Linked DNA regions of Sus scrofa. The protein of the gene in region 3 interacts with the protein of the main gene of each other region in a biochemical or structural test. Links are inferred from orthologs where the notes say so. Each region holds a gene or a part of one and is shown on either strand. Other genes may lie near its edges.

Region 1 (3,500 bases), about 130 Mb from region 3:
AAGAGATGTTTGGGGTCCTTTAAATCCATGAAGGAGGAACATTGAAAGTTTTGTTTTGTTGCCATTTGTGTGTCACCTAAACATACGGTCGACCCTTCTGTTCACTCCACGTGAGGGCTGTCCCTCTTCCTCCTCTTTAAAAGGCTGACTTCTCACTGCAGTTTCCTCAAAAGAGTATTTGGACTTCACGCCGCAATATTCTATAAGCGTTAAGATCTACTTGGAGTCAGTTTTGTTGGCTTGAGAGAACCCTTGTGTGTAGTGTCATCATCATCAAGAATTATGGAGAGTTTGAACATGGTTTAAAAAAAAAGACAAGAAGGAACTCAGGGGAAAAAATAATGAACCATATTTAATGCTGTAGTGAATACACATTCCTCATATAAAAGATGTCGGTTGATTTTCAACTTTAGAATCTACTTACAAAAATGAAAGACTTTATTATTACAGAATAGGAAAATAGAGTTTCTTTTACACAAAATAAAAAAAAAAAAAAGAAAGGAGGCCGTACTTGGGCGGCGGGGGGGCTAGAAGGAAGGGTAGGATGTTAATATCCTGGTGAGGTAAATAGTTGAGACACTGTCACCAGCAGGGAGAACAAGAAATAAAGGTGTGGGAGGGAGTGGGGTGGTCGGGGAACTTGAGGTTAATAGAGGCAGACTCTTGCCTTTGGAGTGGATGAGCCATGAGAGCCTGCTGTGTAGCACTGGGAACTCTGTCCAGTCACTTAGGATGGAGCCGGATAACGTGCGAAAATAGAAAGTGTACATGTATGTGCAACTGGGTCACCCTGCTGTACAGGAGAAAAACAAGTGTACTGGGGAAATAACTATTTAAAAAAAAAAAAAGAAAAGCATAAGTCTGGTACTGAAAATGCAAAGATTATAGTGACACAGCTTATGTTTACAGAGAGGGACGTGATCACCAAAAAAAGGCTGTTGCCTCTGGGTGTGGAGAAGGTTGGGATGGAACCTGTTTGTCCTCATAAGCCCTCCAGTACTATGTGATTTTTAAATTATATGCATATATTAACTTTCATACATTTTTAAATGTTTTAAAGCAGGACATTTTTGCTCCGTTTTTATAACATAAGCAATGGCAAAGATTGTTGCCATTTTTTAAACCACTTTTACTCTTAATAACATAATATGTGCAAATGTTAAGAAATGAAATGAGGGAATTCCCATCGTGGCTTAGTGGTTAATGAATCCAACTAGGAACCATGAGGTTGCGGGTCCTATCCCTGGACTTGCTCGGTGGGTTAAGGATCTGGCGTTGCCGTGAGCTGTGGTGTAGGTTGCAGACGTGGCTCGGATCTGGCCTTGCTGTGGCTCTGGCCTTGCTGTGGCTCTGGCATAGGCCGGTGGCTATAGCGCCTATTAGACCCCTAGCCTGGGAACCTCCATATGCCATGGGAGCGGTCCAAGAAATGGCAAAAAGACAAAAAAAAAAAAAAGAAAAGAAAGAAATGAATTAAGGATGTATAATGTTGGGAGTGTAGACTTTTTTTGTTCCTGAGAATAATACTTTTCTCCCCCAATTCTTCTTTCTCCTGTTTCTTTCTTCTCTTTCCGTCTTTGTCTTCCAGAAGCCCTTCAGAGACCAGTAGCATCTGACTTCGAGCCCCAGGGTCTGAGTGAAGCAGCTCGGTGGAACTCTAAGGAAAACCTTCTCGCTGGTCCCAGTGAAAATGACCCCAACCTTTTCGTTGCACTGTATGATTTCGTGGCCAGTGGGGATAACACTTTGAGCATAACTAAAGGTAAAGGAGGTGTGGGCAGCTGGTGATGGGTGAAAGGGACAGAAAGCAGGTATAGCTGTGGCTTGACTAGCCACCCTTTGCTGGTTGAAAGAGCAGCTCTAAAGTTTGGAATACAGAGAGATCCCCCAAAACTAACAGTGTCTTTATAAAAGGGTCCCTTTTCCTTAAGGAGAAGTTCCTGTGCAGTTCTCAGCAAAAGCAGCAGCTTTCCCTATTTTAAATTGAAGAATACATCTGGATCAAACCCTGAAGGCACTTTTTATTTTTTTAAGAAAAAGTATTTTGGGGAGTTCCCATCGTGGCTCAGCAGAAATGAATCTGACTAGCATCCATGAGGACGTGGGTTCCATCCCTGGCCTCGCTCAGTGAGCTAAGGATCCGGTGTTGCCGTGAGCTGTGGTGTAGGTCACAGACAAGGCTTGGATCCCACGTTGTGGCTGTGGTGTAGGCCAGCGGCCACAGCTTTGATTCAATCTTAGCCTAGGAACCTCCATATGCTGTGGGTGCGCCCTGAAAGGACAAAAAAAAAAAAAAGAAAAAGTATTTTTCCCAGAAAGCTTCCTTATATTAAGAACAGAGCACTTGAGTATAGATTTGTAAAAAAAAGAAACAAACAAACCAAAAAAACGGAGGCTATGTATTTATCTGTATATCCAGTATAAACAGGAAGCTTCGTATGTAAACATGTACTCTTATTCACGTATCCGTGTATATTGATGTGGACTTGTTAACATGAAGTAGGTATTTCGGAATTTGAAGATTTTTAGTAATCATACAGAATGAATGAGAATGAGCAAAAGTAGCTTTTCACACCAAGCCGTCTGACTTGGTCCCTTCCTTCCCAGGGGAAAAGCTCCGGGTCCTGGGCTACAACCACAATGGGGAGTGGTGCGAAGCCCAGACGAGAAACGGCCAAGGCTGGGTCCCCAGCAACTATGTCACGCCGGTCAGCAGTCTGGAGAAGCACTCCTGGTACCACGGGCCCGTGTCCCGCAACGCCGCCGAGTACCTGCTGAGCAGCGGGATCAACGGCAGCTTCTTGGTTCGGGAGAGCGAGAGCAGTCCCGGGCAGAGGTCCATCTCGCTGCGATACGAAGGGAGAGTGTACCACTACAGGATCAACACTGCCTCCGATGGCAAGGTAGGGCGCCCCGCCCGGGAGCTGGTGGGCCAGGGAGCCAGTGCTGCTGGGCTGATGAGTTGCTGCAGCAGAGCTCAGCCAAGGAGCCGTTTGGGACCAGCGTCATCCCGGTAGCCTGTTGAGGCCCGAGCGTGTGACGGTACGTCCACAGGCTCCCATAGGCTCGTGCGGTTCTCTGTCCTGCTGGAGTTTTGTTGTTAACAGCTTCCCGAGCTGACCGTGCACATACTTCTTACATTAAGTCTCTTCCTTTTTAAAAAAATCTCTTATTGTGATAGTAGTTTATCCTCAGGGAGAAAAATCCACACAGTAGATGTTATCTTTAAAATGAAAAGCCACCTTGGAGTTCCCGTCGTGGCTCAGTGGTTACCGAATCCAACTAGGAACCGTGAGGTTGAGGGTTCGATCCCAGCCTTGCTCAGTGGGTTGAGGATCTGGCGTTGCCATGAGTGTGGTGTAGGTTGCAAACTCGGCTCGGATCTGCGTTGCTGTGGCTATGGTGTAGGCCAGCAGCTTCAGCTCCGATTCAACCTCTAGCCTGGGAATCTCATATGCCACGGGAGCGGCCCAAAAAACAGCAAAAAGACAAATAAATAA
Region 2 (3,500 bases), on a different chromosome or scaffold from region 3:
TGTTAGCATTCAAGTTTAGAGGAGGGCTCTGGGGACAGGTGGAGGCAGTAAGTGGGGTTGGGAATGGGGGGTGGGGGATGGGAGGTAGGGGCGGACAGGGTAGAGCCACACTCACAGGCTGCGTTGGGTGAAGGTCTTGCAGGGCGTCCACGGCCGCCAGTGCCACTGGATCCCTAGTGGAGGGGGCACCCCGTAGGCAGTACAGGTGAGGGCCTGGCGACTGTGGCGGGAGTAGATGCTGGGGGAGGAGGCCTCCTTCTCGTGGATGTGGGGGGCACTGGGGACACAGGGAGCCAGCCAGTCAGCCAGCCTCCGCCACCACACCCCCCGTCCACCCACCAGCCCCTCTCCTGTCTACCCACCCATACCATTCACCACCAGCTCCAGGCTGATGTTGCGCCTCAGGCCGGCCGCGGAGTTCCACAGGGCAAGGGTGTAGATGCCCGCACTGGCCTCTGTCACCTCCTTGAGCACCAGAGCATGCGGGCTGTGGCGTCCGGACAGTGCCTTTCTGTCCTTATACCTGGCCCAGGAAGGGAGTTCAGGGGTCCGTGCACTCCTTCCCTGTGGCACCCTAGCCCCAGAATATATTGTCTGGAGGCGGGAGAGGCCAGGAGCAAGAGGCACCTCCTGCATTAGACCGGGAGGCTGCTGGGAAGCGAGGCAGGGGTATGCGCTGAGGCAGCTGACTGGAGTGGGGAGCAGATGGCCTTCAGGCCATGTGCATGGTCTCCAGGCTTGACCTGTTGGGTCTCACAACACCTACAGGCTCAGGACCAACTGAAGTCCCCATGGGGGCCTTGTCTCTTTCTCATAGGCTTCAGAGGTGTGTGCTGTGAAGGGGTAGAGGGGCAGTCCCTTGGGTGCCTTCCCCTGGTTTTCCAAGGAGAGACTCTGCGAGAAGCATAGCCCATGGGCACAGAGTGACACTGAAGGGGAGGCAGGGGAATGGCTCTCGGCTGCAATGCCAGAGCCCTACTGAAAGAGACATCACTTGCCTAGGATCACACTGCAGGGCAAGGCAGGGCAGGGCAGGGCAGGACCCAGGCCATGAGGCCTGCTGGGCTCTGGTGCAGAATCCTGTCTGCCATCTGCTGCATTTGTGATCCTAGGCAAAGGGCTTCACTGTCCTTAAGCCCCCATGTCCTCATCTGAAAACCAGGGAACCTATTTGCAGGTGCTCTCAGGTCTACCCAAGATAGAGACTTTAGTGTCAGACACACAGAGGCTGCTTTGGGAGCCAGGACTGGCCTGTCTACCCATGGATCTCCATCCATTACTTACTCATAATCATTCTATGATGACTGAGACAAGTGGGCCCCTTTGGGGCTATGGTCGTCACTAGTGCCCGGGGACAGGTGTCTCAGTGGACAGTGGGCCCAGCTAAGCACTCGTTGGAGGCAGATGTTGGCCAAGTGAGAAAAGAAAGGCCAGATGTGGTGGGAATGGTGAGAGGCAGTCAGTTACCTGAGGACCAGGCCTGGGCTGGATCCTCTATGCAACAGAGCCAGTTACCCTCCCAGACAAAGTCAGTACTGCTGTTCTTAAAGGGCAGGGGACAGGGCCCTGGGTGTCTCCACCCCTGTGAGGGAGGCTGGCAGACTGCATCATGCATCAGTGTCTCTAGAGACAAGTCCTGGTCCCATACCAGGTGCCCCAGTGGACTCCAAAGCCTATGGCCTCAGAGGTAGGGTCATAGCAAGCCCAGGCCCAGGGCATTCTGGGGCCCTCCCAGGAGAAGCCTGCTTCTAGCCTCTGGTCAGTGCAGTGGGTGCTGGCTAGGGGGCTTCTGCTTGCCCTGCTATAGGCTTGCAGAGAAGGTCATCCTGCCTGGCGGGAAGTGCCCCAGACCAGGAAGGCAGGACTTCTCTGGCCAGTTGTGAAAGGGTGGAGTAGACGCCTCTCAGGAGGCTCAGAGGTCAGGTAAGAATGCACTTCCTCCTTCCTGGCCTGTTGTCCTCATGTGTATGATGGGAGTCAGCCTAGTACGTGACTTCCCAGGGTTGGCCCATGTGGACAGCTCAGACGGCCCCAGAGTACATGGTGGGGTGCTGTACTTTCCTGAGCTCTCGGGGAGCACCTGGTGAGGGTGAAGCCACCACTGAAGGACCCCTCACTGACCCTTGGCCTACCCTGCAAGGGACACCTTACTCTGAGGTCAGAGTCTAGAACTCACTGCTGTACACAGCTCAGGCCCAGCCCAGCTCATGACCGTCTGGGAAACCCCTGTAACATCTCCGAAAGTCTGGTTAGAAGCATCCTGGGGTTGGCCAGCTGTTTGGAGAGGAGCCAAAGAAACCTGAAGCCATTCTTCTATGATACCTTCTACCTGCGGCCCTCAGGAGGCTGAGTGGGTGCAGGCAGCGACAGCTAGATAAAGCCCTGTGCTATGCCCACCCACATATAACGGGAGGCCGGTATTTACACCCTTTCAGAGTTTAGCAGTGATCCAGGTCACCCTTCTCTCTGGCCAAAATACGCACTTCCCTTAGAATATTCATCAGGGTTCCCCACGCAGGGCACAGGCCCAGAGGGGTCTCCATCCAGGTCATAGGAAGTGGGCCTTGATGGGGAGAATGCTGCCTGTCCCTCCCTGTGGTTCTTGCTTACACTGGACCTGGTAGGTAGTGATGGGCAGGAGTGAGGGAGGTACCATTGGAACTCCGGCAGGGGGTACGCGGCCAGCTTCACGGGCAGTTTCACCAGCTCGTCTCCTGCTGTGGCCTCCAGGACGGGACCCTTGAGCCACTCGACACTGATGAAGGGCTTTTCTGCCAGACAGGAGGCATCAGGGTAAAGCTGGGGCTGATGTCGCTGACCCGCCACCACGCAGGGATTCAGAGCCACCCTCAGTGGCCAGATGCCTGCAGGCTGGGGCTCACCCTGTCCTCTGGGGCATGGGAGCTGGGCAGTCTGTCCACTCGCGGCCCTCCCTTCCCACTGGCTGGACTCCACACTGCTCAGATGCACCACAGACCTTGACCCTGGGCCCACCCTGTACAAGAACCCTTGTTCCCCAGGCTTGATGACTAACACCCGCCCTAGCCCAGGCTATGCTGGGCACGATGACCTGACAGGCCGTACCATGCACAATGACCTCAGTGCTCTCCTGGAATTGCTGGATGCCATTGTTGGCCTGGCACACGTATGGGCCCAAGTCGTGCTGGCTGACGTTGTGGATGGTGAGGATGCTGGAGAGCTCCGTGTGAGTCTGCTGGGAGCGCCGCTCCGGCACCCACCTACCCCGCTCTGCCTGCCGGGGACCAGGGGAAGTGTAGGGTCAGAGCGGGCTGGCTCTGACAGAACCAGCCATCAGAGGCACACACCCTCATCCAGCCAGAAGTAGCAACAGAAGCCTTGTGCCAGACCCAGAGTTTTCCTTGGGATGGGAAAACTTCCCTATCAGATAGGGCTCCGGGGGCAGGACTGGCTCTGCACCTCCTCTACGTGTGTGCTGGACCAGGGTGGGCAGAGATGGGGATCCTGGGGATGGTTCGGGC
Region 3 (3,500 bases):
TGGGACACGAAGCCTGAGAAGGTACCTGGGAGCGGAGCCTGGGGGCCCACAGCTCCTGCCAGGGGTGGAGGCTGTGGGTCTCCAGAGTGCACATGTATTGGAGCTCTCTGGTGGTGCAGTGGGTTAAGGATCCAGCATTGTCACTGCTGTGGCTCAGGTCACTACTGTAGCATAGGTTTGATACCTGACCCAGGAACTCCCTTATGCTATAGGCATGGCCAAAAAAGCAAAAAACAGCAAGGCTGAGGGCATGTGTATAACTGCCTGCCCACCCTTCCCTAAGGGTCTAGAATAAATGCAGCAACACTTTCCTACTCACCTCTTCTACCAATAGATGTTAACTGCCTTTAATACACCCAGTTCATTTTCTTTGCATGGGTGTTGCTCTCAGGAAAAATGAAGTTTCTTTCCCTCCCAGTATTCATGTTACATCATCCTGCAAATAAACCAAACCAACCCTTTTATAGCAAGACAGCCCCTGAGCAAGGGCAGAGAGAACGTGTGTGCGCGTCTCTCTCCAAAGTAATGGGAGGAAGGTTTGCTCCTAAGAAGCAAGAGCCATGTTACCATTTTGAAGCTAGTCCTTTTAGGAAGAGACTGGTGGTTTTAAGATTAAAACTCATTTATCAAATTAGATGGTGCTAATTTAATGTGTTGAGGATAAATGAGATCCGAGAAAAACTCTTTAGAAGATTGTTTGTCCCTGGACTTGGGGCGGGGGTGGAATATCAGAGGTTAGGCTGAGCTGACCCCCTTTGAGTTCATGGACGACAGTCACCATCCAGACGCAGAGGCAAAGGGTTTGTTTCTGGCATTTGAAGTTGTTTCGGCCTCTTGCTTTGACTGGGTCCTGAATAAGCAGCTCCACTACTTCCTTCCTGGTTCAAGACCCTTAGTGTCTCAGACAGGCTGAGCATCCATCTGGTTGAAAACCGACCCTTGTTTACAACCCTGATGGCCTCTCTCCTGCAGCGACCGCTGGCCCTGGCAGTGGTGAGCCAGATGAAGGACCCGACCTTCGCAACCTTCATGTACCAGCTGCCCTGTGGGAAGCAGACGGCCTTCTTCTCGTCCCAGGACCAAGAGTACATGGTGGTGTTCTGGGACGGGAAAGAGGAGTCTAGGTAAAGCCTGAGGTTTACAGGGCCCTGCTGGTATCAGAGTTAGGGTGGGGGGCGCATCGTGGACTTGGGGAGCAGTCGGGGACAACCATGATGAGAGATGTTTAGCAGACAGGGCTTGAAAGCCTGTTGGAGCCTGCTCAAGAGAAAAAACAGTCTACATGCCTGCAGATGGGCACGCGTGGGTTTGTGGATAAGAGAAGCAGAGAAAAGATGTCTGCTGAGGATGGGGGGTTAAAGGCGAGGGGTTGTTTTAAGATGGGGGAGTTATTTGCAGCTTGAGAGTAGAGGTGAATGATACTGGGAGTCGGGAGAGAGGACAGGGACTAGAGTGGAGCTGCCGAGTAGAGACGAGGGAAAGGGCCCCAGGGTCCAGCAGGAAGGGTGCCACTAAGTAGGATATCATGTGCTCCCCCTTTCAGGTGCATCTCTTTTTCTCAGTGAAGTGGCAGGAAGGGCAAGGCCATTGGGGAAAGGCTCAGAATATTTGAGGAGAATGACAGAAAGCCCAGGGATTTGGAAAGGTAGCATCAAAGCCTTGGCAATGTCCAGGAAAGCCCCATTCTGTGCAAGACCCTTCAGTTCTCGCCAGGGCTGTGACCTCTCCCACCTACCTAGTGTGATATCTTCAGAGGCAAAATAGCATTTTATGGCATGAAGAATCTTCTGGAAAGTCTGGTGGGAACACTAGAAGTTGCTCAAATCTGAGCGGACGTAGATAAAGCAAAGCTTAAGATGCAGTGAGATAAATGAAAGGGACTGGAAGTAGTTCTGGCCAGAAGCACAAGGGCAGTGAGCCTGGGAAGTGAGACTGGAGAGAAAATGAGACAATCCGAGAATGAAGGAAGGGATGGGGGGAGAAGGAAGGGATGGGGGGAGAAGGAAGGGAGGACATGCCAAACACAGGACGCATGTCACAAAATTCTTGTTGGAGGGAATAGGGGTATTTCACCCTTTAAGTCTATATTTTTCTTTTTTTTTCAAGTTAAATGTAAAGTGATTTGTAATATCCTAGTTTCACTTTTTCAATGCATAGAAAAAAGACTGGGAAAAAAGGGGGGAATATAAACTTTGAAGGAAGTTTTCATTTGGAGATTTTTCACTCAGCTCTCTCGTCTGTAGATACATGTTCTCAGTCAGCAATGGCAAGGGTTTCTGAAATGTGCTGACAGAAAAATTTTACATTGAGAACTGCTACCCACTCACTTGACTTATTTCCTTGGACTGGGGACAAGGTCCCATCAAGGACATCCAGTGATGCAGGGGGTTGGGGGTGGTGGTGAAGGGCTGTATTTATAAAACACAGCTTGTTAGTTCTTTGTAGAGAACTCATTGAGGCCCCAGTATACTCTGAAATTCCCCTGTCTTGTCTCTAGTTGACCCGGTATTGTCTGCTGTGGGGGATCCCCCTTTACTGGGGTAGGGACAGACATGGCCAGTGGAGGGTGGGGCAGGGAGTGGCCTGCGTGCAGTACAGCCTCCTAATGTCTCTTTCTGCTTTAGGCATGACCTCAAAGGTCGCAGAAAGAGGAGGGTCCTTCTTCCCCTTGGGAATGGCCTTCCTGCGCCTAAATGTTCAGGCATTACCAGGCAGACGAACCAGGCTCTGCTCCAGCCACGAGCAGTCCTTGAGTCTCTCGGAACAGGCAGAATTGGACTCTGGGCTGGAAGGGGTGGCCAAGGGCCATGGCAGCTGATGTCCTCCTCTAAGGCTGCTACAGGCCAGGCCAGGGAGAGGGAGGGGACCCCTGACCGGCATGAGCTGACCACATGGTTGTTGCCCATTGTAGGAACTACACAGTGGTGAACACAGAGAAGGGCCTTCTGGAAGTGCAGCACATGAGCTGTGCTGGAATGAAGTTGAGCTGCCAGCTCAAGGTCCAGAACTCTCTGTGGACGGCCACTGAGGTAACAACCCCCTGCAGGGCTCTCCTCAGGGTGGATGACACCAGCCCCTGGTGGGGGGGGTAGGGGGGCATTTAGCAACTAAACATGCAGGACAGGACACCTGGGTACATTTGAGGTTTAGGCATAACCCCAGCCCACACCCGTGAGACCCCAGGTCAATGCCAGCAGCCCAGTTGGCAAGCAGCATCTCACCAGGGGCAACTCAGCCTGCTTTGTCCCTGGCTGGTGACTGGGGTTCAGCTGTGATAGTGTCAAGGGCAGAATCCCAGCAAGAGAACCCCAGCAGGTTGGTGAAATGACTGGGTTTCTTATAACCCTGCCGTGTCTACGCAGCAAATCCACTCAGCTATGAGGCCCTTTGCTTTCTTGTAAAGAGGTCAGCAGAAGGCAGAGGAACTGTCTTCTGAGGAATCCAGAGAGGAATGCCCCAAAACAAAGTCTCTGAAGCTGCTCTTGGGGGGGGGGGTATAA
Region 4 (3,500 bases), on a different chromosome or scaffold from region 3:
CCTGAATGATCACTAAACAGTAATTCACGCAGGGGGAGGGGAAAGGAGCAGGGCCTTTGACCCAGACAGACAGCTATGCCTTCAGTCAGAGTGATCCCCCCTCTGCCATGAGGCCAGGACTCTGATCACACCCACTGACCAGAGAGCCTGGTTGGTGCCACCAAGTCCTGCACACACATGAAGAAGCACCCCACACCCTCTGCGAGATGCATGTGTGAGAAATGCAACGGAGAAGTCACAACACTGCGCATGGACTCACACTGGTTTCCAAGTACAAGCACAAGGAGGTCGCACGGAGTCGGAGGCCTTCATATCACAAATAAGAACACTGGAGTGCAGGGCGTTAGGCGTGGGTACCTCCCACCTAAGGGCTCCTCCTCATCCCAAACACAGGAAGCCATCTCTCCCACTCTGGGAAGGTTCAAGCGTACACCGTGAACACACAAGGTGAGAACACGCACTTGTTCACGGGTACAACTCGAGACTCCTGAGCAAGACACTTCACAGAGACAATGGCTCAGCTGCCGGCCGCCCCCTCCAATCACCCCACTCCCAGCACCAACCTGCACATCAACACACACTCAATCTACCCTCCCAACAACCAGCATGAGTGGTACAGGCGGAAACAAGCAAGGTTTTCAGAAAAACGCCCCAAGACTCCTGCAAGAAAGTTAATGCCCACAGGGAACACACGCAAGTGGTGGCACAAGCTAGCTGGGAGGAGATAAGAGGCCATTGTTTCCCCAGTTACTCAAATCAGTTTAAAAGCCTAGTAGTGGGCATCCTTGCCTTCAGAGTCAGCCCCAAGTTGCAATCGAACAGCGGCCTCGCTTCAGAGACAGGGAACTTACAGGTGGGGGGCAAAGATGCGACTCATCTTGGAAGCATGGTCGCCCTCACAGTCCAGGTCGTCGTCCCCGGGCTCCACACTGAACTTCCTCTTGCTGGGACTGATGGGCGGGGGCCCCGTGCGGTGACCGGTGAGGGCCGAGGCCACGGGGAGAGTCTGCAGCCGGGGCTCCCCCCTGAGAGCAGCTTCACCTGCAAAAAGAGAGAGACTCGTGTCACGGACCAGGAGCGACGCCCCCAGCCCGGCCCCTGGCCCCCGGCGCCACGCCAAAGAGCTCCCAGTGGAAAGTTCTGGCACTGTGACGGGCTGCCTGCCATTCTCAAAACACGGCCGGGCCCATGGTGAGCTGCCAAGCATGAGACACTGTACATAAATGTGGTTTCCCAGCACAATCCTTCTTTTCTCCCCAGCTGGTACGGAGATGTAATTGACATACGACATTGTGTAAGTTTCAGGTGAACAACATACTGCAAAACATCACCACCGCTAACACCTCCATCAAGTCACAGGAGCAGATTTTTAGGGTAGAGTTTAAAATAAAAAGTTGCAATAAAGTAAAACTGCAGGGAGAGGGAGTTTTGACCATAAACCATCTCAAAAGTTAATTTAAAACATGAAAGGTCTTTTGATTTGTAGGTATTCAACTCCATACATATAAGAAAATGACCTAACAGTGGGTTCATTAAATCACTAAACTCACTTTTCTTGCTTGTTACATTTTTATTATGTTTTGGATACCCCCCTTTTTTTAAGAATGAGGAAAATTTATGGGTTAATAGTTCACATATTTGCCCCCCCAAGTTAAAAAACACATTGTTTAATGAAAAACAAACATATTTTATTCTTACACTAAAAAAGGCATGTTAAAAATATTATGATTATGATCAGCACCAAGTTTCTGTGTAGAATTTGTCAGGAACTTAACGCACAGGTGCAGTTCTCAAAACATTTTCAAAGTTAGACACGTCCGTGATCACATTTCAATCTGATTCAACATCTTGGTGTTTTTCGGTTCTGTCTGAGACAGGCTTTGGGCAAAGCGATAACTTTGTGCTGCATTATGAATTAAAATAAGCCCAACCTTTCACAAGAACGGTTATGTACTTTCTAAAACTCATAAACAAGAGTAAGTTACTTTAATAGAAAACTTCAAGCATACTAAGTCACATCGTGGGGCAAACCTAAGTTTTTCACAAATAATAACCCTTTTGTTGTGCTGTTTGTATTGGTCTCTGAGGCCTGACCAATTTTGTTTCCACTTGGTCACAATCTGAGGGTCCTATTAGGATAGAGCTGACTTTGCCTGAGGCCTGTGGTACCTAAGAAAGGAAATCTTTGTTTGCTACACTAATTTTCATATCATTACAGATGTGTGGACTGTTTCAACAGCCATTTACTTCATGCATGTATGACAAATAAGATTTTGTTAGGGAGAGTGAGGTTGAAAAGGACCCTTCTTAATGTTTACCAGGAAAAATAAAAATTTTGCCAATTTGGTCAGCAAGATATAAATGAGCAAGTATACAGTGACCCCCTAACACACCTCCAGTCAGGGTTTCTTTTAAGGATTCTGGCCCCATGGCGAACTGGAACTTTCCTTTTTTTTTTTTTTTTTTTTTTTTTTTGCTTTTTAGGGTCCCTCCCAAGGCGCATGGAAGTTCCCAGGCTAGGGGTTGAAACGGAACTATAGCTGCCAGCCTACACTACAGCCAAGGCAGGATCCAAGCCAAGTCTGCAACCTACACCACAGCTCACGGCAATGCTGGATCCTTAACCCACTGAGCGAGGCCAGGGATCGAACCCGAAACCTCATGGTTCCTAGTTGGATTCGTTTCCACTGCACCACGATGGGAACTCCTGGAACTTTCCATTTTAAATAAAATACCTTAAAAAAAAAATCAAAAAACCCAGCCCTATGCTGGCCTGCTACACTCAGAAATTCAGTGGATTTTGGTTGACCTCTATTTTCTATTAAGTCATTTTTGGTTCTGACAAACAAATAGCAGCACTTATATTGATACCTTGATAAACGAGGAAACTTTTTTCCCATAGCCACCCCTCTGTCCTGACCTCTCCTTCCTCACAGAAAGGGGACAGGACATTTCCAATGGGGAAGGTGGCAGCCATGCTAACCTTTGGAGGAGCCCCGATAATATACCTGGGGGGACACAGCAACTGCAAGTGAAGCCTCCAGGAGGTACAGAGCCAGCACCCCCTCCTCCCCAGGGTTTCTCCACATCCTGGCAGGAGACTCAGGGTGAGGAGTGCTCTGTGTGGACCCCTGGGCTTTGGGAGCCATATTATCAGGTGCCAGATGTGTGGCAACAGCCATTACTATGGAAAACTGCCACCACAGCAACATCACATCCCTTCCACAAAAGGAAGAGTCACTCGTCACCCGTGCAAAATCCTTGGCGTCGGCACAGCATTCCTGCCCCACCCCCAATTTCAATCCTTGGACAAGTTCTTGGGCTTGTTGGCATTTTAAGTTCATCCAGCAGAGCTATCACTTACCTTTGGGACCAAATTGCTGAGGTCTGGCCAAGAACGTCCATAGCTATCTTTTGAAAAGTGGAGATGTGTCACCTGGGGAGTAAAGGACCCATGAAGGAACCAGGTGGTCCACCTCTCTGGGGGGGGGAGGCATCCT
Region 5 (3,500 bases), on a different chromosome or scaffold from region 3:
TCTTGATTATGGGTTTCGACAGACCCTCTCGAGTAGAAAGAGCACGGGAATGACAAGGAGCACAATAAATGTTTTTATATAATATACTATAAAATGTGGCCATTCATCAGATGTCCGTGGTACCAAAAAGCACTCACAGGATTACTGATATAAGATCCCCATGAAAGAGTCCAAGGTCTCTGGGACAATCCCTCGTCTCAGTTGATTCTGGGGTTGGGAGGAGAGATTTCCTTTCAAAGCAGTGATTTTACTGCACGAGACGCATGACAACAAGATAATGTAATTCCACGGAAAGCAAGGAGTAGGTTTTGCTAGAAACCGGCTCACGGCTTTCCAGTCGGATGGGGCACTCGAAGGATGGCCCCTGGACAAAGATTTAATTCTCTGCACTAAAACATGGGTAACGTACACGCTGAGGAACGTGGTCAATGTTTATCGATCAGAGCACATTTTTTTCTTTTTTTTAGGGCTGCACCCATGGCATATGGAGCTCCCCAGGCTAGAGTTCGAATCGGAGCTGCAACTGTCAGCCTATGCCACAGCCACGGCCCCTAGGAATCCGACCTGCGTCTGTGACCTACACCACAGCTTGTGGCAACACTGGATGTTTAGCCCATTGAGCGAGGCCAGGGATCAAACCTGCTTCCTTATGAATACTAGTCAGGTTCTTAACCCACTGAGCCACAACAGGAACTCCTATTATAGCAATTTTTTAAACATTTTTTTTAACATTCATGTATAGTTCATTTACAGTGTTGTGCCAATTTCTGCAATACAGCAAAGTGATTGATCCAGTCACATACATATATTCCTTTCTTATATTATTTCCCATTAGGAGAATGGATATAGTTCCCTGCGCTGTACAGTAGGACCTCATTGCTTATCCATTCTTTTTTTTTTTTTTCCTTTGTCTTTTTTGCCTTTTCTAGAGATGCTTCCCCACAGCACATGGAGGTTCCCAGGCTAGGGGTCTAATCAGAGCTGTAGCCTCCGGCCTATACCAGAGCCACAGCAATGCAGGATCCGAGCTGCATCTGCAAACTATACCACAGCTCGCGGCAATGCTGGATCCCTAACCCACCGAGCAAGGCCAGGGATCGAACCCGCAACCTCATGGTTCCTAGTCGGATTCATTTCTGCTGCACCACGATGGGAACTCCACTTATCCATTTTAAATGTTACGGCCTGCATCTACCAATTCCAAACTACCCATCCACCCCACCCCTTCCCCCTGCCCCCCTTGGCAACCACAAGTCTGTTCTCTGTGTCTGTGGCTCTGTTTGTTTTCTGTGGTCACAAAGAAGCTGCAAGAAGCACCCATTCCCCATGTGCTGGGGCAGGGGCGGGCACCACCCCTGAGGAAGGGCACGACCCCATGGCTTTCGAGCTTGTGGATGAGAAAAGGCCTGCTGGACCTTGCTCTGACAACAGCAAGGGGCAGCACAGTGGCCTGGGAGGACCACTGGGCTCTCGGAGCCAAGTCAGGAGCCGTCAGCCAGGCAGCCACAGCCCGTGCTTTCAAGCTCCCTCCATACACCGCACAAGGATGCTCTCTCTTTCGGACAGTCAGGGCCGTCAGTGGAGCTAGCTAGCTCAGTTCTGGGGCTGAGCCCAGAAAGCCAGCGCCATTCTTCTTTTAGGACATGCTTAGAAAACCAAACCAGCCAGGAGGAGAGTTACTGGTGTGGCGTGTCCCCTGGGGCGTCGAGAGAGGTGATGGCTCTTACAGTTCGTTGGTGCAGTTTGCTGGCTTATCCATCCTGTGTCCTTCTTTGAGCAGCTTAAAAAGTTCCTCCACGGGAATCCCTGGGTAGGGCGAGCCCCCTAACGTGAAGATCTCCCACATTAACACCCCGAAGGACCAGCTGCAACGAAGGGAGAAGACAGTATTACTAAGCCATCTGAACACAGAAACCTTACACGCCCAGTTAAGAAAATAAACGCCTGCTGGCATCTTGCATTCAAAGACAAATGACCGGGGGCCCTCCTGCAGTTCATGCAGCAGGCTTCTTCCTGCCCCCCAAAGAGCATCCCCAAATGATGTTGCTGAAGGATGTTCCAATGGAATTTTCCATCAACAGGTAACTGATGGTAAAAACCATCCCTGTTCTTTTTTTGCTGGGGCGGGGGTGGGGGCCGAGGGCCATTGCTAGAGATTTTTTTCCCCTCCTTCCATCACTCTCAGCTAAAACTCTTTGTCTTTGTTGTTGTTGTTGTTGTCTTTTTGCCATTTCTTGGGTCGATCCTGCAGCATATGGAGGCTCCCAGCTAGAGGTCAAATCGGAGCCGTAGCCGCCGGCCTACGCCAGAGCCACGGCAACTCGGATCCGAGCCACGTGTGCGACCTACACCACAGCTCACGGCAACACCAGATCCTTAACCCACTGAGCAAGGCCAGGGACCGAACCCGCAACCTCACGGTTCCTAGTCAGATTCGTTAACCACTGTGCCACGACGGGAACTCCTAAAACTCTTTGTCTTAATGCAGCGTGAGCAGCATGAATTTCAAGCTGCAAAGCTCTTTATGCTCCTGTCCAGTTCTTCCCTCAGCCTCTGTACCTGACCCCAGGGCGGTATGGGGTATGGGCAGTGAACAGAATGAGGCCAGCGTGCTGATCCTGCGAGGTAACAGCTGCCCAAGGTGGCCAGTGGTTCATCTGATGGCACAAATGTTCTCAACTTACTCAAGTCATAAAGGAAGTTAGCGCCGAGCAGGGATTAGGACGTGGCATCCTGTGCCCGGGATGACTGTCAAACAACAGAAGCGGAAAACACCCCACAGGGCACAGTTTACACCGGACCTCGCAGAGGCCCAGAGCTGGATTCTGAGCCTTGTTCAAGAGACAGCTCCCGGGCTGATCAAGCTGAGAATCCCGCATTTGCCTGGGTCACTGGAAACACGCCCTCCATGATTCTATTAGGGTGGGTTTCAGATGTGAAACTGCCTTCAGTTTTGTGTGGAGCTAGAGCAGCAGCACAATCCAGGCCATCTGCTCACTGCAAAACGGGAGGCACACGGCTTCCCCTTCTCGGATCACTGAAGACCCCCAGCTGCTATACACAGCCTGGGATCAAGGCCTGCCCCAGAGACCCTCCCACCCACACAAATCAGAGTAGCTCAAATGTGTGTGTGTTTTGTTTTGTTTTGCCTCACCTGCAGCATGTGGAGGTTCCTGGGCCAGGGATCGAATCTGTGCCTCAGCAGTGACCTGAGCCACTGCAGTGACAATGCTGGATTCTTAACTCACTGAGCCACAAGGGAACTCCTCGAGTGATTTTTTTTTTTAATTTTGGAATAATTACAGATACACAGGAACTTGCAAAAACATAACAGTGAGACCACCTGTACCTTTCACCCAGTTTCTCACAACGGGAACATCTTTCAACCCCATTTCCAAAGCTAAAATTCTGAAACACCAGCTGGAGCCTGGCCTTGGTAGTGTTTTTACGTGTCTCGTCCTAGAAATACTGTATGGTTTTCCCTCCATTTCTATGACATT
Region 6 (3,500 bases), on a different chromosome or scaffold from region 3:
TATGAATGGCAAGACCCCAGACTAAAGAGGCCTACAAGAAAGCTTACCTTCCATGTGGCAGCATTGCGTCGGAAGTAAGCAAACATTCGTGTGAACCAGTTATAGATTTCATTTAGTGTTAGCTGCTTTTCTGGAGATTCGAGAATGGCCTGTGAAGCACAAGTGACAGAAAAAGATAATTTTGACCATGTCAGCAGAAATGTCATTAAACAGTCTCTTGAAAATATAAAATCATCATGCTACCGAGTTAAATCCTAAGAAAGGTTTCACAAAATGATCTAAGATTAATGGTTGTATTTACCAGTTCAATAGCAAAATTCAAAATGGAATTATCTAATTGTTTTGAGTTTTTATTTCTGTTTCCGTACAGAAATATTAATTTATTAGTCATTCATAAAGCAGAATCAAAGAGAAATGCAAAACATTTCACTAGCTGATTAAAGCTCAGTAATTATTTAGAGCTCAGATTAATTCTAGGGATCAGAGATTACTGTAGCTTGTGATAATTGACTTGCCATCTTTAAACAGGCTCATTTTCACTGTTGTGTGAAATGAATTTCCTAATAATCACATCGTATTGTAATACTTAATCAAAAGCAATTATGTTATATATTGCGGTTTTAAAAAACCTTATAGAAAAGGTTTTAGCATGCTTGCATACTAAACGGTTTTAAATCTACTTCATCAATATATCCATGCCCACGTATATACCTTCTGATATAATTTCACATACTGTGTTATTTACTTACCTGCCTAATTAAAGATGCATATGTAAATGGTGGTCTAACTTCTGCGTTCTTATAAAATTCTTGGTTCTGCGCAATATCTGCTAAATAAGAATCATTGTCCTATTAATTATCACTTTTTAAAAAGAGGCTGGTCTACAAGAATTGCTGACTACAATTCCACCCAAGGCAAAAATGGAGCAGCTACCTGAAGAAATGGGCACGTTGTATTTGTCTGAGTACCGCCTGCGGATGGGTCCCACTGTGTGCATGCTGGTGGTGGTGATGACGGAGGGGCCTTGGGTGACGGGAGTGATGGGGGCGGTGGGGGTCGTAGGAGTATGAGGTAAGCTCTGCGGAGAAGCCTCTGACGCCGATTTGGAGAGTGTGACACTGGAGACCAGATTCAGCTGTGAGGAAAGGAACACTTCTTAGAAGACCTTCAGAAAAACAGAGCAGCCAAGAAAGCATCTGAAATCTGGCAGGAATGACACGGGGTGGGGCGGGGGGGAGGCCGGCTCGTTTTATGTCTCAGAGTAGATACTTATCGGCAACTGAAAGGAGACTTGAGTTCCCACATAAAAATAGTTCCCTCGGTAGTTAGTTGAAAATACCTCTCGCAATGTTCTCCTTTCCTGTTGTTGAGACAGGTGTTTTCCAAAGACCATTAAGTAAGTGTTTGCAGACGCAAAAAGGGGTTCCCTAGCTGGGTGAGTTTGAGAAATTCTGGGTCAAAACATGTCTTTAATCATGACTTCACACCCCTTTTAACAGCTTGCTATGCCTCCTAAACCTCCAAGAGGAAAGATGGGTCCCTGTAGCATCATTGAACACAAATGGTTCAAGAAGCACCAGTTGGGATATACATGGGTATTGACCTGGGCTCTTCAACAGAACCTTCTGTAATGTCCCAGTCCAAGTGAGAAACTGGTTTTACTTAATTTTAATAAAAAGGAAAGTTTGGTGTATAGCCACTACCACCCTCGACAGCAATGGGGTGGGCTACCTCAACTCCACGATGCAACTTCACGGATGGAAAATGCTGCAGAGAGAATTGGCCTGTGACTCCTATGAAAAAGAGTGGCACTGATCCAGTAAACATTCATTTAGTTCCATCAGTTGGCAGAGACTAATCTTTGCAAGCTTTATGTGCAATCTTCATTAAACTATTGGCTTAAAAAGAATATGTCATAGGAGAGATCCGGAACTATACAAATTCTCATTTTTTTCTCCTTCCAGTTTCAAATGTGTAGTACTCAAGGGGAATAATCCATTGCTTCAAGTAAGGAAGTAAATACTTATCTGAAGTAGTACAGAGGAAAAGGAATGTATACTGTTTTGATCCTGCCTTTCCTCTTCCTGTTTCGCCTGCACCTTGAGGTGCTTCACTTATTAGTACTGGTAAAGTTCACTGTTATTGAAACAGTAAATCTGGCTACGCTGACGACCTTGGTTGTTTCCAACATCTTTCTTCAGTCTATCCAGAATTGCAACTTCAGAAACTTGTAGCTGCCCCCAATCCAAAAACGTGCAGTAAAGGAGGCTTACTTGATATCATTTTCTCAAGCCAGATTTTGAATCACTTAATAAATTTGGCCATTTCACCACTGTAACAAGTCCTAAGTATAGGGCATTATTTGTGGAAAGCATTAAAAATGAAATGCCTCTGAGATCATAATCAAAGGACAGGTTAAAAAAGAGTTCCAATTTGTTGGGAAGACTCAACCTTACTCATACTCTAGTAATGAGAGAGAGATCAAGTATCATTGAGGAAATATTAATGGGAAAATGTAAACATGGTGCTGGAAACTGAATGTTGGGTTGCAAGCTTTGAGCTGTGCTTTCCTTTATATCCCTCCCTTGAAATGCCAACGCAGCCAACACCAAATCCCTCCTGCTTCCAGCCCCTTTCTCCCCCAGGCCTGATAAGGGCAAGCTATGGAGATGGCACCACCCTGAGGACCCCCCACCCCTCCCACCCTAGCAAGCTGGGCAGATGCTGGGAGCTGCTTTTTTTAATTAGTGCCAGCGACTTGACTTCATGACACAAATGTGCACAGTAAGTACCAAGTCTAGGGTAGCAGCCATGAGATGAAGGAGGGCAGAAAAGCTAAGGAGGAAGGCTGGGGCTGGCCTCCTCTTTGCCTTGGGCCTTCTTCACCAAGTACAGGAACACCATGGCTAAGCATCAGCCCCAGCAACGGGTCAAGGAAATGAGTGCACGAAAGGCTAGTGCTCATAAATACACAGCTTTTAAAATGCAGATGCCGTTAGGTCTAAGAACATCAGAACGCTCGGCAGAGTCACGGGTACCATTTGTAAAAGTCATCTTGTAAACTACCTGCCACTGAGCGGTTTCACTTAATTCTCATACCATCACTAATACTTGAGATGTTATTATTCATACTTTACAGATAAGCAAACAGAGCCTCGGGAGAGATTAAATAAGTTGCCCATATTCACAACACAGACTCAAAATCAAATACACACTTGTGATTCTAGGCCCTTTGTATAATACTCTCCTTATGTCCAGAAAACGGGAAAAATAAATACTAGCCAGGTTCATTTTTCTGCATGCTCATTTTGGGAAAGGATTCAGGGAATGGCTTTTATCCCTGCTGATAAATAACATTTGATAAATATTGTGAGCAAACCTATAGCATTGGGCACCGAAATGACAAAAACCGGAATAGAACAGACAATGGCTGCCCTTGGAGGGCTTACCATGAAATGTAGACAATGATCAAAGGAAAATAGGCACAACAACCAGAAAAC
Region 7 (3,526 bases), on a different chromosome or scaffold from region 3:
TCAGAACTTCTCCCCTTGGGATTTTTTTGAGGAAGCCATCAGATGTGTGAAAGTGCTTTCAGACCAGCAAGTGGGATTCCCGTGGGAGGAGCTACCCTGACGACCAGCCGTAACAGGCTCCTTAAGGGGAGCGGCGCTTGCAGAAGGGACCATAGCAGTCAGCCCTGGTGCAGGCCGCCCAGACCGAGATGCACCTTTTTCAAGGGGCGCTTGGCTGTGCTGAAGGAGATGGGTAGCTGTTCTCACCCTTCTCTTTGCCTGCAGGTGGTTCCCGGGCCCTGGTTCATGGGCGGCTGTGGCGTCAGGACGGGGTCCTGGCTGTGTCCTGTGCCCAGGAGGGCGTGATCCGAGTGAAGCCCAAGGTTTCAAAGAGCAAGCTATAGCCAGAGGTACCAGCTTGGCCTGGCACTTCAGGGACCTTCCTTCTCTCCCCACTCCTGAGGCAGGAGTTACTGTCCAGGGCCAGCCCTCTGTCCCTGACATCCAATAAAGACTCATACCACTGGAGCTGCCGTCTTTAATCCCCCTGGGGCCAGAACTGCAGCCCTCCCTCCAGCCATCGACTCCAGGACTCCTGGGGCAGAGTCCCTGGCCCTCTGGCCAGGCTGCCTATGGGTTTGGAGGCCCAAGGGAAAGGGAACGTTGACCCCAACCTGGGGCAGCGGCATCAGACTCTCTCCCTGCACCATCCCAGCCAAAGCTTGTCCTGAGCCCAGCTCTCAACAGAAGCAGCGCGTTTCCTCAGTCTGCTTCAAATTCTTTGCACAACTTCTGGGGGTTCCCAGCACCCCTGGTAGCCTCTCAACTACTGTCCATGTCCTCATCCACCCTCATCCCACCCCTCACCCTGGGGCAGTGCCTCTCCCTGCAGTGGCCTCAGGTCTGGGCCAGGCTAGTCCAGTACCTCCTTGATGAGTAATTCTTTGAGACTTGGGGGTGGCGTGGGGGTCAGGCCTGCCTCCTGCAGGGCCTGCAGCCGGGCCTCCGACTGGCGTTTGTCCAGGCCCAGGCGCCAGGAGAGCCGCACGTGGGCCTCCAGAAAGGGTGCCAGCAAGGGGTGAGGGTTCTTGTTCCCCAGCAGCTGTAGGGCCTTCTCACAGCATGCCCGGGCCTCCCCAGGGTCCTCTAGCTCCTGGTGGCACACGGCCAGCCCCGCCAGGGTCAGCAGAGGGCGGTCTGGGCCCGAGGGGATGCCCAGCTGGGCCTGCAGCTGCCAAGCGTTGGCCCAGAGTGCCAGAGCCTCTCGGTAGAGGCCAGTGCAGGTGAGGCTCTGCGCCCGCCGCAGCTCAGGCAGCACGAAGAAGTCCTGCAGGTCTGGGGCTTGGCGCAGCTCAGGCACTGCCTGGAGGTGGCCCAGAAACTGCTCGAAAGCCCGGCTGCGGCGGGCGATGGTCTCTGCAGTAAAATTCCGGCGCAGGCGCTTTCGGGGGAAGGAGATGGCAGCCATGGGGCCCCGGAACTGCCGCTGCAGGTTTCGGTGCAACCGCTCAAAGTCCGAGTAGCGGCGGGAGATCTGGGCTGGCTGGCGATCTGGCGGCCCTGGGCCCATCACGGCGAGGGTGTAGAGCTGCGGGGAGGGTGGGGGTCAGGGCGGGTGCAGGTTCTCCCTGGGTCCCTTGGCCTCCCCACCCCCACACTGCCAACTCTCTTCCCCCACCTCTTCCCTTCACTCCCGAGAGGGGGCGCCCAGGAGGGTGGGAGCTACAGGGGCTGCAGCTGGGAAGCCCAGCCCCGTCTTACCTGAGGCTCGTCTGAAATGACCCAGGCCCAAGGCAGCACAGGGAGAAAAAGACAGAGATGAGCTTCAGTGCCCAGACCAGCCGCCCCCTTTGCCCCTTCTAGGGAGAACTCCCTACCCGCAGGGCCATGAATGCTTCTGACAGTCCCCTGGAGAGCCAGCGGGGCGCTGAACCCAGGCTCATCTCGGGCCTCTAGAGCCAACCTTTAACTTGGAGCTCTACTCCACTCTGCACACATAACCCATATCCCTAGCCAGGTTATTCCAACCCACACCTGGGAGACAGGCCTTCAGACAGTGACCACTGTGGAAAATTCTAACCTCGGGTCAGCGTCCAGCTCTGGTAGATGGAGCGTTGGCCCGGGTCAGTGTTTATCAAGTGTGGGCCGTGCATGTACCTGAGATCTTAGGTGGTATGTACTGGAGCAAGTAATACTGAATCAGAGGGAGGAGGTGATGCCCCTTCTAATTCTCTGTGGGCCTGACTACGAATTGAGAAGCTCTCAGTTTGGTTTAAGAAAGCCATTCTCTGCAGTTCCCGTTGTGGCTCAGGGGGTTAAGAACCCAACTAATATCCATGAGGATGCGGGTTCGATCCCTGGCCTCACTCTGTGGGTTAAGGATTTGGCATTACTGTGGCTGTGGTGCAGGCCAGCAGCTGTAGCTCCAGTTCAACCCCTTGCCCAGTAACTTCCATATGCTGCAGGAGAGGCCATTAAAAAAAGCCTTTCTCCAACTCTTGTCTCCATTTTTAGAAAAGAGACAAAGTGAATTTCAGGTCAGGGCCTTCTTCAGGCACCAGCATCCAGGCAGAGTTTAGAGACACTTTTACTTTCACTGCTTTTATTCTTATAATTTTTTTTTTTTTTTTGGACTGTGCCCAGGCATACAGAAGTTCCTAGGCCAGGATCAAACTCACACCACAGCAGTGATGCTAGACCCTTAACCCACTGAGTCACCAGGGAATTCCTCACTGCTTTTATTTAATTTTGTTTGTTTGTTTTTTGGCTGCCTTATGGCATATGGAGTTCCTGGGCCAGGAATCAGATCCAAGCCATTGCAACCTATGCCACAGCTGTGGCAACGCTGCATCGTTAACCCACTGTGCTGGGGCAGGGGTTGAACCTATGTCCCAGTGCTGCAGAGACACCACCAATCCTGTTGTGCCGTGGCAGGGGTTCCCTCACTGCTTTTATTTTTACGTTATCTTCTCTTTATGGCAAGTGAGGCTTTCCACATACAGTTGTGCTATAAGTTGTCTTTTATACTTATTTATTTATATATATTTCTTGCTTTTTAGGGCAGCACCTGCAGCATATGGAAGTTCCTAGGCTAGGGGTCGAATCAGAGCTCCAGCTGCCTGCCTGCGCCACAGCCACAGCAACAGGGGATCCAAGCCGTGTTTGCAACCTACACCACCGCTCATGGAAACACCAGATCCTTAACCTACTGAGCAAGGCCAGGAACCGAACCCACATCCTCATGGATACTAGTCGCGTTTGTAACCTGCTGAGCCATGATGGGAACGTCCTAAACTTATTTTAAAAAATAGTCTTATTTGAAGAAAAATATTGAGCACAGAATGGTACAAATAGCAATTAGATAGGACAAGAATCGTGAAGGTGGTGCTGGAGGTTTGGGAAACACTGAACAAAATGACCTCTAAGCTTCCCCGGTCAGAAAAACCATGTATGTATTAATCTATAATAACGCTGACCGAATGAACAGGTGTGAAGGGGGATTAGCAAGCGCTGGATGTCAAAAGCCGACTAACACCAAACCCCGATT

Evidence for each region.
Region 1: the proteins of LRRK1 (region 3) and ABL1 form a complex in vitro, tested with the Homo sapiens proteins (2 studies listed by BioGRID and IntAct, with this or other methods). The link is inferred for Sus scrofa from reciprocal best matches to the Homo sapiens genes LRRK1 and ABL1.
Region 2: the proteins of LRRK1 (region 3) and FLT4 form a complex in vitro, tested with the Homo sapiens proteins (2 studies listed by BioGRID and IntAct, with this or other methods). The link is inferred for Sus scrofa from reciprocal best matches to the Homo sapiens genes LRRK1 and FLT4.
Region 4: the proteins of LRRK1 (region 3) and VGLL4 form a complex in vitro, tested with the Homo sapiens proteins (2 studies listed by BioGRID and IntAct, with this or other methods). The link is inferred for Sus scrofa from reciprocal best matches to the Homo sapiens genes LRRK1 and VGLL4.
Region 5: the proteins of LRRK1 (region 3) and FGFR2 form a complex in vitro, tested with the Homo sapiens proteins (2 studies listed by BioGRID and IntAct, with this or other methods). The link is inferred for Sus scrofa from reciprocal best matches to the Homo sapiens genes LRRK1 and FGFR2.
Region 6: the proteins of LRRK1 (region 3) and FOXP1 form a complex in vitro, tested with the Homo sapiens proteins (2 studies listed by BioGRID and IntAct, with this or other methods). The link is inferred for Sus scrofa from reciprocal best matches to the Homo sapiens genes LRRK1 and FOXP1.
Region 7: the proteins of LRRK1 (region 3) and SNX21 form a complex in vitro, tested with the Homo sapiens proteins (2 studies listed by BioGRID and IntAct, with this or other methods). The link is inferred for Sus scrofa from reciprocal best matches to the Homo sapiens genes LRRK1 and SNX21.

Annotation. Positions count from the first base shown.
Region 1 is NC_010443.5:270,873,141-270,876,640, forward strand, and holds part of ABL1 (tyrosine-protein kinase ABL1), read left to right. Parts: intron 1-1,588; coding exon 1,589-1,762; intron 1,763-2,607; coding exon 2,608-2,903; intron 2,904-3,500. UniProt on the Homo sapiens protein: Non-receptor tyrosine-protein kinase that plays a role in many key processes linked to cell growth and survival such as cytoskeleton remodeling in response to extracellular stimuli, cell motility and adhesion, receptor endocytosis, autophagy, DNA damage response and apoptosis.
Region 2 is NC_010444.4:78,093,008-78,096,507, reverse strand, and holds part of FLT4 (vascular endothelial growth factor receptor 3), read right to left. Parts: intron 3,254-3,500; coding exon 3,085-3,253; intron 2,772-3,084; coding exon 2,654-2,771; intron 524-2,653; coding exon 359-523; intron 278-358; coding exon 116-277; intron 1-115. UniProt on the Homo sapiens protein: Tyrosine-protein kinase that acts as a cell-surface receptor for VEGFC and VEGFD, and plays an essential role in adult lymphangiogenesis and in the development of the vascular network and the cardiovascular system during embryonic development.
Region 3 is NC_010443.5:139,612,626-139,616,125, forward strand, and holds part of LRRK1 (leucine-rich repeat serine/threonine-protein kinase 1), read left to right. Parts: coding exon 1-21; intron 22-972; coding exon 973-1,124; intron 1,125-2,911; coding exon 2,912-3,029; intron 3,030-3,500.
Region 4 is NC_010455.5:67,737,707-67,741,206, forward strand, and holds part of VGLL4 (transcription cofactor vestigial-like protein 4), read right to left. Parts: intron 1,042-3,500; coding exon 852-1,041; intron 1-851. UniProt on the Homo sapiens protein: May act as a specific coactivator for the mammalian TEFs.
Region 5 is NC_010456.5:131,187,502-131,191,001, forward strand, and holds part of FGFR2 (fibroblast growth factor receptor 2 precursor), read right to left. Parts: intron 1,866-3,500; coding exon 1,728-1,865; intron 1-1,727. UniProt on the Homo sapiens protein: Tyrosine-protein kinase that acts as a cell-surface receptor for fibroblast growth factors and plays an essential role in the regulation of cell proliferation, differentiation, migration and apoptosis, and in the regulation of embryonic development.
Region 6 is NC_010455.5:52,367,774-52,371,273, forward strand, and holds part of FOXP1 (forkhead box protein P1), read right to left. Parts: intron 1,136-3,500; coding exon 934-1,135; intron 830-933; coding exon 750-829; intron 150-749; coding exon 48-149; intron 1-47. UniProt on the Homo sapiens protein: Transcriptional repressor. Can act with CTBP1 to synergistically repress transcription but CTPBP1 is not essential. Plays an important role in the specification and differentiation of lung epithelium.
Region 7 is NC_010459.5:48,036,608-48,040,133, reverse strand, and holds the end of SNX21 (sorting nexin-21), read right to left. Parts: intron 1,568-3,526; coding exon 893-1,567; 3' UTR 501-892; downstream 1-500. Other genes in the region: ACOT8 (acyl-coenzyme A thioesterase 8), read left to right, coding at 265-383. UniProt on the Homo sapiens protein: Binds to membranes enriched in phosphatidylinositol 3-phosphate (PtdIns(P3)) and phosphatidylinositol 4,5-bisphosphate. May be involved in several stages of intracellular trafficking.